Linked DNA regions of Mytilus edulis. The protein of the gene in region 1 binds, or shares a complex with, the protein of each later gene. Links are inferred from orthologs where the notes say so. Each region holds a gene or a part of one and is shown in the gene's direction. Other genes may lie near its edges.

Region 1 (7,391 bases):
ATATAGAGTCTCTGGCAGAATAATGCAAACTTTCCCTTTTCAGTTGTTCCAGTTGAAGTCCAAATACGTCTGTGATTCATCTGGATTATCTGTAGGCTCTATACTATGTATAGGGTAAGTTATTAATAATTCTTCATTTCGGGGTACGGATAGATAACATGTGTTTTAGAATATATATATGTATACACTTCTACATTATTGTCAGGTTCAGAGGGTATTAATAAATGTTTTGAAACGCACCTTTTTATTGTGAATTTATCAAAGTCGTCTTCGGCCCAATGACTGGGATAATTGGAGGAAAAAAACGAATGTCTAGTTCTTATATTATGATACTTTGATGGTTGAGAGATGTTAAATCAAGTTAAGGCACGATTATATAAATTCTGATTTTGAAATGTCGTGTCACTTTACCCTCTGGTATCTTTCGCCCCTCTTTTACGGACATGCATGTCCAAAGTATAAATAGCACGAGAAAAGACATACCTGTATATTTATACTGAGTAACATAAAAAGTTATATTTGTTAAGTGCTGCATAAATACAGTACTGCTTATGTGCAATTTTCAAAACGTTAACGCTGTAAAACTCGTGTGCTCTATTTTTCAATCTAATTAAAATATAGATCTCCCAATATATAGTATAACGCGAGCAGCTATCTATATTTGAATTAGATTGATCTATTTTGTCCTATTTTTATGTGGTTTTTTTTTGTAGGTTTGTATCTTTATTGTTTCTGTACATACTTATCGGAATACTCGTTCAAATATTTATACGTAAAGAATCTGGTAAACGAGTTATACCAAATCATGACTTTTGGGTTGCTGTACCAGTATATATAAAGGTAAAAATAATATGTTGTGTATATTTTTGTGACTTTGTCAACATTGGATATTTTAATCATTCGAAAGAGCATTTTTGAGGGTTTTTTTTCAAATTAAAGCTACTAGTATAAGATAAGATAAGATAAGATAAGATAAGATAAGATAAGATAAGATAAGATAAGATAAGATAAGAATTTTATTAATCTAATCAAGAACCCATAAAGGGCATCATTTTACAACAATATTATGACAATATGATTGAAAAAAGCAAAACAGAAAACTAATGCCATACCATATTGGTGAAAATAACGTATGGGAATTATTTCATGTACGCCTAAATGACGGTTATTAACCAATTTAACTGTGTTTTGCAATTATCTTTGGAACTATTATTTTGAAAGAGAAAAGTAAAGTTCATTTGAAAGATAACTTGAGTATCTACAAGTTATGAAAGTAGTCAATATACTTTCCGTTGGATGTGCTGTCCTAAAAAGAGTTGACCATACAAAATAAAATCTTATTGATCTGGATCAAACTGGTTGCAATCCAATGTGGTATATGACATCGCCATTGCCCCTATACTACTGTTGCTATAAAAATTGATGTTATATAGGTACCCTTCTATGTGAAATTTCCAGGCTCATTGGGGCCCGTTATTGTTTTACGGAAATTAGGCTTCGAGACGGTTTACTTGCTGAATATATACAAAGCTTCTGTATATAAAAAAAGTCAATTCAAACTGTTTCGCTTTTTTAAACTTGACACACTCAGGGCAAAGTTTAAATATTTTCACTGTATGTTGGTAAGAGGGTCATTTTGACCAATAAAGAAATTCATACCAGTAAGAGTTCTGGTCACTTGATAACTCTTCATTTTGAGTTGTATATCCTGTATAACTCATTGATTGAAAACCTTGCGTAGGCTTAGACAATCGTTTTACTCCTGTCACTTACATACGACAGACATAATGTAGTAGCTAATTGCTTCAAACATGTAAGTAATTAAAAAGGTATGATAGGGAATATTTGACCTTATACAAAAGTATTGACCTTATACAAAAGTATAAGTATTTCATATATATAAAAATGTACACCCTATTGTAATTATAGTTCATGAATTTACTGAATTTATACTTTTTTGTAGGATGGTACTCGTTTTGTTATTGGGAGAGGAAAAGTACGAACATACGATGCAATTTAATTTTATCTCGCAGTTTAAATCTATACAGTCATTATAGAATACTCATTTTTATTTTTGTATAACAGTTGTTTGTTCGTATGATAATAATATACATTTGTGTAATTGGTGAAGATGTTCTGCTTTATTCGGAGTTGTCCTTCGTTGATCGAAAAAAAATTCAATGCATATATAAGAGCCACACATGGATAGTTTTATGTCCTCTTATAGTACGTTTGTATTATAGTTATTTGTTTATGGAGATAACTTTTAGGCGTTGTGGAAATAAAGGCGATATTTCTATTATGCATGTTATTTCCGTTATGACTAAAATGGAGAAAAGAAAGTAGACAAAAAGATGAATTTATGGAGAAATGATTCATGTTAAATGTACACCCGTATGGAATCATCAATTAAATGAATGTATACTTGTTGGTTTTAAAGACTTTGTGTTTAACTGAATTTATTCATTTTATTCACGGTAGATTAAGTTTGAGTATATACAATTGATAGAAAAATGAGCAACATGGGTCAATTAAAAAACATGTATCGCATTCAAACGAATGAAATAATATTAAGCTCATGTAATACTACCATGATCCTACCCAGTCTATAAATTAGTGTCGTTTCTAGATTAAAAGTAAATATGGTCAATCAGAACAGTACAAACTAATAACAAGCAGGCATCGAAATTGAAACTAGCTTGTATGTTTCACTGACTACTTTCTTTAAAGACGACTGTAAAAAGATTCTATAGGGGTGCTAAGTCTCTCATCAGTTTGTTCATTTCTGTTGTATAATCATAAAAACAAGGAGATGAGGGTGGGATTGCAAATGAGCCAACTATCAAAATTAATAGCGAACAAAGGACAAGCATGTAAATAATTATGGGTCGACCAACATACGAGCTTCAACAATGAGCAAAAACAAATGCTGTAAACTATGTTATAAATGTCCCCGACATGACAATATCGTGAAAAAAAACAACCAAAAGGCGAAAACCAACTGTCTGATCTTTGGTAACTGCAGCGCTATTTTAGTATAAAATATTTTTTTGAAGCCATCAAATTACATATTACATCAAACTTGACTGATTTAATTCCAGTTTACAAATTTCAAAACTCCGTAGATGGTAGAATTCCACAATTCACTATTCACTCATGATTATTTTTGCAATAACTTACGTAATATAATGTTCAAACTTCAATAATACATAAAATTTTGTTTTTTAATCCTCCGTGTTAAAAAAAAACCCAATAAAAATCTTATATATATAGATATTTATCTAGCTGACACTTGTTTATATTAATGTAAAGGTATTTGGTGTTCACATTTTTTTCAATCGACTGCATCTCCAAAGTGATTGATATTAGCAGATCTGTCAAAATAAAAATAGTTAATTGTTATAAAAATACGTAATCATCTTACGAAGTTTTCAACAATCCTTTAATATCTTCCCGACGGCGTTAAATTTACACGAATTACTATTTTACAAACTTCCTTTTAACTACATAAAACACTCTTTCTGTTTTAATCTCTGTTCAGTGTACTTTAAAGGAGAATCAAATAAAACATACAAATTTCAAAAGTATGTTTTTTTTTTTATTTTACACTGAGTTTAATATTGTTTAAGTAAATGTTTAAGAATCGTAATATAAATACTTTTCTTTGTCAAACAGTGACAAAAGAAAAATGATAGCTCTGTAAATTTGACCAGAGAAAAACAAAAGTGAACAAAAAAACATTAAATCAATCAGTTAAATGTGTTGTGTCAATCCTTGTTGTGCCTTTCCAAAATGTCCATAATATATGTCTTATGTCTGTTATTAGGTTGGGTAACATTCAATTAATTATATTGGTCAACCATCTTCATAAATCTTTTTAAATCTAGGTCAAACGTGCAATTTACTGCTGGTCATTTACAAGGAGACGGAATCTCACATCAAATATAAAACTTCCTCTCACAAACTAATTCAAACAACAGCGGGAGCTTTTTTTTTTAATGATTTTATGAATGAGTCAGGCCAATTTCTATATTAGGATCTTTACACACACGGGGCAATAAACTCGTCCGACGTGCATCACTTTAACCTGATCACCCCCTGAAGGCAGTAATGGATCACTCTTACAAATGCCAATATCTTACATACACATACGATACCGTAGGAAGTTGTTGTTTAGTGTGTAGAAAACGATGAAATTATTATATGTGTGAAATTAAATACTTCTTCTTACAAAACAACTTTGGATAAAGTGATCACTTGGTTTTATAAATATGAGATTAACTAGTTATTTATTTCGTTTTAAAATGGATAAGGTATTTTTCTCAAAGTGTAGTTGCGGAAAAAATAGTTTTTTCGATGTTTCTGTGATAGTTTTGTTTGTGTGTATTTTTGGATATGCAATTCCTATAACTAGTGCCTTTAATTTGGATATAAAGAACGCTATAATTCAAAGAGGTGAAACTGGGAGTATGTTCGGATTCTCAGTAGCTCAACATCTCGACCAAAACACAGGATGGTAAGTTTTCACAAATTCTTTAAAGTTCACAAAGAAAAGTGTTGCCACAGTTACGAGAATAATCAATTACTAACTGAAGAGATGATATTTGTAGATGGTATTTCTAATGAAATATACATTGAAAATATTGTAATTACAAATAAAACTTGCAAGGTAAACTAATATGGATCGTAAGAGGTTGCTGCAATCATGTTCTTATCTAGTTTTATGTACTATACATGTAGTATGAACATTTTTGTTCAATCAGTACATAACTATAATCTGACGGGAAGACGAGGTTAAACGCTACACATGTTTTGTGTTTATTATTTTACAATTATCTTTTATCTCATCAAACATGTGTTATCTATGTGATGTAAACTTGGCTTAAAAAATCCTATGGTGAATCCCTAAGCGATCAGCAGGTGATCGGATTAATAGATCATTAATTGACTCTGGATAATATATATTCACGGATGACATCTACATGCTTTTGGTGTACTTAGGACCCCATTCTTCAATTTCTTTCAACCATTTACTTAATTGAAAAATTCAACTTCAAATGACACAGCATCTCTATTCACTTCGTTGTCATGTATCGTCTAATCTTGTTTTATAAATCTTACATATACAAACAAATGTACACGATTTTATATCAATGAAAAATAATCGTCAAAAACGTGTTAGCTAGATATTTACATTAATTTAGCCACGCTTATTTAAACAAAATAAACATCAAACTCTTTATAAAGGTCGATATATGTCTGTTTTGATTTTGTTATGTTTAACAGTTTCTTTTCTACGACGTGATACACGATAGCCTCCAGATATTGTCCATGCATAGATAAGTAATGATTGTAACCTATCAGTTATTGATGGATGAATAATTAAAGTAATGCTTCAATCTAAACTTTTAACCGAATGACCGTCTGGATACATTTTTTGTACATACATCAACATGATGTAAAATATGGATCATAGGCTTTTGCATTCCCCAAAATACTCTTTATTGCGGTGATGTAGTTGAAAAATAAGATCAGTTGAGTTCTACACTACCATCGTTGACCATAAGGCATAAATGTCAGTGTTGTTATTTTATGACTCTCTTAAAAGAACACTTTTAGGTTAAAAATTAGTGTATTTTTTCTTTTTTTGCATGGTAGTGTGGTGGCTATGATTTTGCATTATAATTGTTTAAAACTATTAAGTAAAGTTGATCACGTTTGTGAAATGAACTTGACAGGCTCGAGGAAGTTAAGTGATTATGTGATCCCTCCCATGATTATTTATTATCTAATCCAAACTAATTTATGACGACGTTGACTGCAGGCGCTCGACAGGACATTTTGACCTCCATGGGATAATTTGTCCGGAAACAGAACTATATTAGTAAACGCCCAAGCGTTATCTTGGGGATTTGACAGTCACCTAGGGAATAAACATGCACTAAAATTATCATATTTTAAAAATTTCTTCCATTCTGACATCGCTTCAGATACACATTTACGCATAATCTTACACATGGTTACCACATTTAAAATGAAGTCAACATCAGAACGAAACTAAAAAAATCCTTTGAACCATTATTTCAAAAAAAGATCTGACAATTTTTTTCATATACATATATGTCGTGTTTAAAGTACACAAGGTTTAACACTCAAGTGCATTAAAGATGTTTCACATGGCTTGTACCGTCAGAAAGCAGGTAATTTGAAATGAGTTAAGATCTTTTCCTGGAAAAAGTTGAAATTTTAAATAAAGTTCAGTCTGAGAACACAGTAATAAGATAAACATTACGTGTATTGATGAACTGGTAAACGCAATTACGTCAAATTTGATGGATGGATCTCCGGGTCGTGTTTACATGTCATACTAGAATATGGTGGATGCCAATCTTAATTACCAGATATAATTCGATAATATAAGTAACCACAGTACAATACTTTAACAATCCTTGTTGTATGGTTGTGTGGTTTATGGTCACCAAAAGATGATATATGGTCAATAAGTAAGTTACCAATGATCAGGTCTCTGATGTTTTTGTATCTTGCCTAGACTTGCTACATGTCCCTTCCTAATTATTATTATTTTTTCAATTTTGCCCCTTTAATAATTTTACTGCTATAACTAGGAGATTACAATTATACTGACATCTGCAGGAGGAAGGGACTTGTAAAGTTTGTCTGAGGCTTGACCAAACTGTTAATCTTAGAGTAATTAAGATTGACATTTATTGATAAGAATTTCAGATAACAGTTGGGAAGTGAAACTTGATATTCCAGTGTTGTGCAAATACTGTTTATTTATTTTCATTTTATAACTTACTAGAAAGATAAGGTCACTGAACTTATACATATGATCAAACATCACATCATTGTCAGAGTTTCTGTTGTGTCTAATGGCCGAAAGTTCTACTCCAAAAAAGTTTTTTAGATTTATAAAATTTACTCCAACAACTAAAAAAACTCTTTGTGTAATTTGTGGAAACAGAATTGAAAAATGTGATTACAGGAGAAAATTATTTCATGGCAGCATCAAATCTGAATACTGTATTCTTATTGAAAAATATCTGGAAATAAATATTACAGAAGAGACACATGCAGATACTGCATGTAGAAAATGTGTTAGAGAATTGCAAAAAATTGACAGTCTTTTCACAACATTTAAATCGTCATATCAGAATACTTTGGCAAAACTACGTGAAACACATGGACATAACTCGGTTTCATTCAAAAGACAATTTTCCGAGGATGGTAGTGCAACTGTTAATAGTAGGAAATCGTTGTTTCCTAGAGATGAGGAAAAAGAAGAAGACTCTGAATTCAATATTGACACTGAAACTGATTCAGAACTGAAGGTATGTTTGTAAAGTACATTATTGTAAAAACAGAGAAAA
Region 2 (8,068 bases), on another chromosome or scaffold:
CACTCAGACACAAAATATGTGTTACATGAGGACAAATTACAAATCAAATACAATAAATGACAGAATAGACAGGTAACTATTAACAAAAGTGTAATTTCTAAAGATAATAAAACTTGTAAGATACATGCATCTTTCTAAATGAAGGTAGACAGTTTCTTAATAAATATAGCTAGATTATACAATAACTGACAGTGACACAATGACAGCATATTTTGCATTTTCAGTACAGATGGGTATGTTGTATAATATTTCGGTATATATTTCTTCCGAAGTTCAGTAATAGAACTATTATTACATACATATAAATAATGATATTCATCACCAATACATGATTCATTACATAAGGTACATATGCGATCTGTTCTAGCGATGTTGTACCATCTGCCAGTTTCCATAGGAATTTTTAGGTTACATGTTCTCAGTTTTGAAATCCAGATACTTTTATCCTCTGGAAGACGTAATAGATAATTTTCCAGACCAAACTGAGATTTAAATAACTTATATTATTACATTGGTTGCAATGAATTACATTGATTTCTCAGTTAATAGATAAAACCGATAATTTCACATGTGAAATAAACGTGGTTATTTCACTCTCTGACGTCATACAACAATAGGCGTTGTCAAGACGTCGATAAGGTCGGATCAAAACAAATTGTCAATGCGTAGGAAAAAGATATAGTTCCTTACATTTTCTACATTAATTTCATAAAAAAAAAGCCATTTGCCAATGTAATAAAAAGAATAACTAATCGCCATATTTGAATATCAAAAATAAGACAACTTGTGACCGAACACCGCTATGGATTAAACTCGTGCTGCGCACTCGTTTAATCCATGCGTCGTTCGGTCACGCGTTGTCTTATTTTTGATATTCAAATACGGCGATTAGTTATACTATAAATATTCGCCACGAGACGAGTTATCAATATTACTGGACCACTTTTGAAGAAACTGATCTTGAAGAATCTGTTTTATAACGGGTTTGAAAGTTGAATAATCAATGTATTGGTTGAAAAACATATAACCTAATCCTGAGTTGTCAAATATAGATTTTACAAATGACACCCATTTAAATTCACAAATACCATCAGCATGTAATTTGAAAATAAGCTTATACATAGAACTACTAAGTTTCTTTTCATTTTTAGCCATTCTACTCCAAAACGATAACATTCTTAATTTTACTTTAATTTCTAGTGGAAACCTTCCTAATTCTCCATATATAACATTTGGAGTACTTGATCTCACATTTAAAATTCTCTTGCAAAATTGTAGATGAACTTTTTCAATTATATCAATGTTTTCAAATCCCCATATTTCTGATCCATACAATAAAATAGGTTCGACAAGATAATCAAACAATTTAAGTTGTAGGTCAATAGGTAAATGTAAATTTCTAATCTTTGTATAAACAGCAAAAAGTGCTTTTTGCGACTGTTCTACAAGCTTTTTCTTTGCACAAACAAATGACCCATTATAATTAAGCAAAAGACCAAGATATGTATAGCTATCTACAATTTCAAGAGATGTACCATCAAGTTTAAAATCAAAATCCATTTTCGATTTTCTTTTGCTAAAAACCATCACTTTAGTTTTACCAATATTCACACTAAGTTTCCACATTTTACAATAGTTTTCAAAAACTTTGAGAGCATTTTGCATTTCATCATAATTATCAGCAAAAATAACAGTGTCATCTGCATACAACAAAACAAAAATTTCTAAAAATACATGTAATTCATTATAACATTTTTCTTTAATTAATTCTAAAGGTAAAACATGAAGTTCTCTAAAGTAATCTTCTAAGTCATTTAAGAATATGGAAAACAAAAAAGGGGAAAGATTTTCACCCTGACGAACTCCAATCATACAAGGGAAGAAATCTGATCAAATAAGATGTTTGTAAATTCCTTAACAGCATGATTTAAGTTATTTGTATTGGTAATGTTATTCACTAAAGACAATAAATTATTTTGTTCTTGTTGTATGATATCTATATATTCATTAGATCTTTTTATATCCCACTTTATGTAATTGCGAATCTTTGGAAACGATAACTCCGGTCTGAAATTTCGGAATTCAAGTTCAAATAATAATGGTGCGTGATCAGAAAATTCGTTGAAATTCAGCACATCAAAATTCTTAATAAGTTTATAATCGCTAGGTGAAATAAGTAGGTAGTCGTTGACACTCCTTCCATTCATTGTACAGAATGTAAATTTTCCAACACGATTTCCGAGTCTTCCATTAGCAATAGTAAGTTCAGTATTATAACATAACTGTAAAAGTTTTCGACCAAATGCGTTAACGGTTTTGTCTACGGAGTGCCTTTTCGGAACAATCGAGGTTTCCACGTGGTCTACACTTTCTAAATACAGATCTAAGTTATCATTTGATAAAACATCATCAATTTCACCAATACGACTATTTAGGTCGCCACACACTAAAAATGAACCTTTTTCTTTATACTCTAAACAAACACGTTCTATAATATCATAAAAATCAACATCACATTTGTTATAAAAAATTGATTTTTCATGTGGAATATAAGAAAAACATATGTAGATATCATTTGCAGTATTAAAAAATTCATGATTCAGTTTAATTATAACAATGCCACAGTCTATCTCTCTATCTATAGAAATACCATCTGATAACTTTGTTTTACAAAAAATAGCTAATCCACCTTCACTTCGAGTACCAATTTTAACATTTCTATTTAAACATATAAGTTTCACAAAACCTTCTATTTCTATAATATTTTTCTCTTGTAACCAAGTTTCACATAAAAACAAAATTTCGTAAGTATTTACAAAATTCAAAAAACCATTGTCTTCATAACAAGAATTTAAACCATGTACATTCCAACTTAAACATTTTAAATTGTTCAATTGTTCCCTGTGCTGCCCCTATGGGACATGTATACTCTTTACCACCCACAAAAAGTTTGTCCTTCACAAAATATGCCTTGATATCCCTGGAGCGCAGTTCCTTCAGTAGTGGTAATTTTTCTTTTCTACGTTTTTGTATTTCTAATGGTAATTGTTCAGAAATTCCAAAAGGTGAATCTTTCAAATTCTTTGAACTTTTCTTTACAAGATCCCGCATCTCAAAATTTGCAAACTTTACCAGGATTGGTCTCTTTTTTTCAGCTTTTTTTCCCAATCTGAACGAATCAAGTATTGTAATTTTATCTGCAGGGTTTTCAATTTTTAAGTATTACCACAAAATTCCAAAACCACATTGCTCTCTGAAAGTTTGTTAGTATAGGTATAGTAAATACAATAAGAATTAGACATATAAATGAATTACACAGATAACAAATTTATTTGGCTTATGAGTAATGAACATGCCAATGTATGTAGAAATATATCTAGATTTCTAAGTTTGAGTATATTTTACAAAACTGATTTGTTGTATGGATATGGTAACTTAATAGAGTATTTACATAAGAACAGGGTTGTCTCCCTTGATATTTATCATACCATATAATATAATATTTCCTTTTTTATGTGTGTATTAGATCTCTTTGTCAGCTATAACTCTTTCTCAATATTTATGTACATATGCATTTATATTGTTCATTTTATGCTCTTTGTGAGTTTTCTTGAATAAAATAATTTAATTTGAATTTATAAAATATGATGAACCAATATTAAAAGAATATAATCTGTTAAATCAAGGATTTGTATTGTAATTTGTTACTATACAAATCATTGGTTAAATCGGTTATTTCATTTGCACAATATGACTTTTTTTCGGAAAAGGTATCGCACTGCTGACGGACGATAGTTTTCTTTTTTACACTACCTAGAAAATTTTTTTTTTTGTTAATTACTCCTGCCTATGTTTATACTCGTGCTTTTGCCTTGACAATAACATTCATTTTTGCATGTTATCTCAGATATGACTCAGAATTCTATATTTGATATGTATATGTTTTGTATGTTTTATATGTGCTATGTGTGTTTTAAATGTGCTATGTATGCTTTAAGTGTGCTATGACAATGACCATTTATATCTGCATGATTTCAGTCTTATAGATGATGACAAAATGCCTTTGAGTTTAAAATGTGCTTTATGTGTTTTATATATGTCTTATATATTTCGTAAGTAACATTAGATATTACTGAATGACGCAATCATTGTTATGTTAATTGTTTGTTGACATCTACTGAAATAAAATTTGTAAACCCTATGTTTTCTTATTAAATAGTATTACATTGTACAGATAAATCACACCAAGACTCCACCATACATAGTATGATCAGAAACCAGAAAAAAAACTACAATTCACTGAACATTCTTATAATAACACAAGCTTAGTAATCAAACAAAAAACAAAACAAAAAACAACTGAAGTTCAGTTATAGACAAGACAAGATATATTTAGTTTGATATTTAATTTCCAATAACAACAACAACCAACATTATACTAATATTCTTCTAGTAGTCCGAGTTTGGTATAGTCCGAGTTTGTTATAGTCCGATTTTGGGAGGCCGATTATGTTATAGGCCGAGTTTGTTATAGTCCGATTTTGTTATAGGCCGAGATATCATGGATTCGAAAATATGATAACCGAAAAGAAGAAACACTCATGGATGTACATTGGTTACATGGGATACTATCACAGAATAACTTGATTTACTCATCTAACCAGTTGTACTCATCTTTATTTTTTTATTTAATAGATTAATCTAACAAAATTTACCGTTTTACTTGTATACAGTTAACATCGACTGATTTGTTTTGAGGTTCGTTGTGCAATATTTACTTGGTTTTCAGATACACTTTCTATAATCTGGAGGCCAGTTTTGGGATGGGAAGATCCACATAAATGAGCGTTTTTTCTTAAAAAGTTCAACAAGAATTGGCTGAAAATTAGCATGGACACGTATTTAAAGGCATTATGTGTGATCGATAAATAACTTGATTTGTATTATTTTGTAGAACTATCGGCTATCGTATCTAAACCAAGCCCGGTTGGAGTTAGGGGCTTGGCCACTGTAGTTTGTTTACATTGACTTTACTGCTTTTTAAAACATTTGTCCTTCAATCGAGATAAACAGTCAAACAATATTTTAGTATGGAAGATATTTTTACTCAGGTGCGAGAAGGAAATGCATTTCACGTGCGAGTTTGGCTTGATAACACAGAAAACGATCTGAATCAGGGGTAAGGAAATATTGCATGTTTCAGGATCATTTACAGCTTTCTACTATTAATAACATTTCAATTTACATATTGTCTATGAAAACTGGAAAATCTATATATTTGCAACCAATTTCAGTTTTAAAATATGTATATTTTTGAAATGGTATGAAAATGCCCCTTTAGGTCCCCCCATTTGTGATTCAGATTCCCACTGATGTTGATTGGGTTATGCAAATTCCTTACAAGGATATGGTTAACACAGGGGTTCATGTAGGGGATGCTTTAAAACAACAACTATAAACTTTAATCATGAATTATTTTAAAAACTTTAAGTGGTTTATACCTTAGTCTCTGTAAACATTTAGATTTCAATAATACAATATTGTTTTAAGTAATATTTTAAACTGATTTTTATAATTTTAAATATCATTTTATGCTTCCTTTGGGGAGTTATTTTGTAAATTGACTGTTATGAATGAGCAGTAGTATTTCTACTATCTCACTTATGACAGAAGTTATCAGTATATCCTCTCATTACACAAGAATGTTAGTGTGAGGAAATATGCATCTGTTTACAACCACTTGCTGTATGGAATTTTGATGATATAATTTAAAGTGTGAAATAAAGAGGCTTATTATTTTTTTAAGGTTAAATGTTATCATGTTATAGCATTTTTATTTGTTTAGCCAGTCAATCAATTAACTATAATAATTCATGAAAAAAAGCTCGGCAATACAATTAAATAAAAAAACAGGAGTTTGATAATTTTTTTATTTTTGAATTGGTTTAATACATTTTGTACTTTATATTTCATTTACATGTATATTGTACATGTATTCTTACAAAAAATGTAATTCCATAACTTAAAATGTGATAAATAATATCTGTAATAGGACTACACCACATTAATGTCTTGTTTGATGCAGTACCAAATTTTTCAATTCCTTTATTTTCTTGAATGAAGACTTTTTTATAGTCTTTATAACTGACAGAAAACAAAGTTTAAACATTAATTAAAATATGTTATATGCTGTCTGCGCTTGCACGTACGTCCCAAGTAAATAAGTGACGTTATCCAATCAAAATGAACATTACAAGCGTTGTAGCATTAGAATGACTAATAAAATGTACTAAACTATGCATTAATTAATATTTTATCGATATTCATCAGTTTATCTTCATTAGTGAAATTTACCAATAAATTGGTTTCTGCAATATTTGAATGAAATTAAGATAATTATAATTCAGCTGTATTTGTGAATCATGTTCAAATACCTATTACGGACTAGGGGAATAGCTCTGGTAGCATGGATGTAAGCGATTACATACAGACACATAAAAACACATCAGCTTCCATTTCTACATTTTAATCAGACAAAGATGACGTCACAAACATAAATACTAAATACTGGCAAAAGGGGAACAACTCTCTTTTACACACAGAAACATAATCCGACCATATATACTGATATATAACGTACCGGTTTGACTTGGTCGCACAGTGTACAATGATAGAAAGCAGCTACTGATAAGCTTTGTATTAATAATGGACATTTTAATGAAGCCAATGGACATGATCATGATGATAGACCCTATTCTTCAGTTCAAAATTTTACTGACTAGCTTATGCAGGTCAGCTGGATCCTTGCAATTAAAATATAAGCTCATTTATAGTTTTATCTTAACAAGTTATCCTGTTATCTTGGTTTTTCTTAACCTTTCAAGTTGTTTTGAAATGAAGATAAAAGTCAAGACTACATAACATGTATAAAATAAACTTTAAAGTTTCTTTAAATTTTTTTTTTCTAAAATTGGCTTCTCATTTGCGAAGCAAGAAAAGAAAATTTTGCATGTTCATGTTTTGAATTGTGCATGTTACATGTATAAAGCTGTATTGTTAATTCACAACTTTTGCATTGTTTTTATAAGTCTTTTGTATTAAAGTGGGGAAAATAGCAACAGGAAAGGCGTCATTAAAAAAATATGACAACCTTTCATGTCAAACTTCAATAATATTATAATATTTTATTTATCATGTTTTAATGTTAATGTAGCATTTCCTGAAATTGTGTACTAATCTAAGGAAATGATGCATACATGTAATTTAGGTTAAGAGAAGAAATAAGTTGAAATTATGATCACTATTGTTTATCCAACACTGTACCCATACCTCTCTTAAAACATTTGCATACAATGTTATACATAACAGGCTATTATTTGAACTTGGAATTATTTTTAATTATGGAATTTGCTTAAATTCTTGTTATTGAAATTCTTAATAAATTCCATGTATATTTTGTACTATAATGTTCTGTGCTGCGCACAACACTTTCTATTACAAAGAAAATAGTATATTTTCACAAGAATGTACTGTGCCGCGCACAACACTATCTAACCAAAATACATTGTATGGAAAATGCTATGAACCGCTCAAAACATCATAAAACCAAATAAACATGGAATTTATTAAAAAATTTAAACACGAGAAATTATGCAAATTCTATGATAAAAATAATTCCAAGTTCAAATAATAGCCTGTTACATGTATAATAATTATGAAACCATTTATATATCCATATTGTGCCTGTAGTGTCAATGTGAATAATTTGTTCTTGTAGTTTCTGATTATACATAAAAGAGATATTGTTTTCTCTAATTTTGTGCAATTTTCAAAATTTATCTTGATTGTCTGTTCTAAGCAAATGATAGAATGAAATTTAATTGTGAGGTCATGAAAAAAGACAACAATATCTGATGACGTCACATAAAAAGTACACAACTTTCTACAAATCTTTTAAAAAGGAAGGATAAAGATCATGAGAGAAAAAGATTTCACCACTATAACTTGTGTATTGCAATATTTCTCCACTCTTAACAACAGTCAAATCAGTACATGTATAATATGAAAT

The links.
Region 2: integrin alpha-8-like (region 1) and scaffold protein ILK-like share a complex: the UniProt entries of both Caenorhabditis elegans proteins name them as parts of the integrin containing attachment complex. The link is inferred for Mytilus edulis from reciprocal best matches to the Caenorhabditis elegans genes pat-2 and pat-4.

The regions. Positions count from the first base shown.
Region 1 is NC_092345.1:85,189,335-85,196,725, reverse strand, and holds the start of integrin alpha-8-like, read left to right. Parts: upstream 1-3,985; 5' UTR 3,986-4,271; coding exon 4,272-4,516; intron 4,517-7,391. Other genes in the region: uncharacterized protein, read left to right, coding at 44-114, 714-840, 1,964-2,020. UniProt on the Caenorhabditis elegans protein: Required for muscle development probably through the regulation of the actin-myosin cytoskeleton. Component of an integrin containing attachment complex, which is required for muscle maintenance.
Region 2 is NC_092351.1:71,741,190-71,749,257, forward strand, and holds the start of scaffold protein ILK-like, read left to right. Parts: upstream 1-4,942; 5' UTR 4,943-5,090; coding exon 5,091-5,179; intron 5,180-8,068. UniProt on the Caenorhabditis elegans protein: Probable pseudokinase that acts as an adapter protein. Component of an integrin containing attachment complex, which is required for muscle development and maintenance.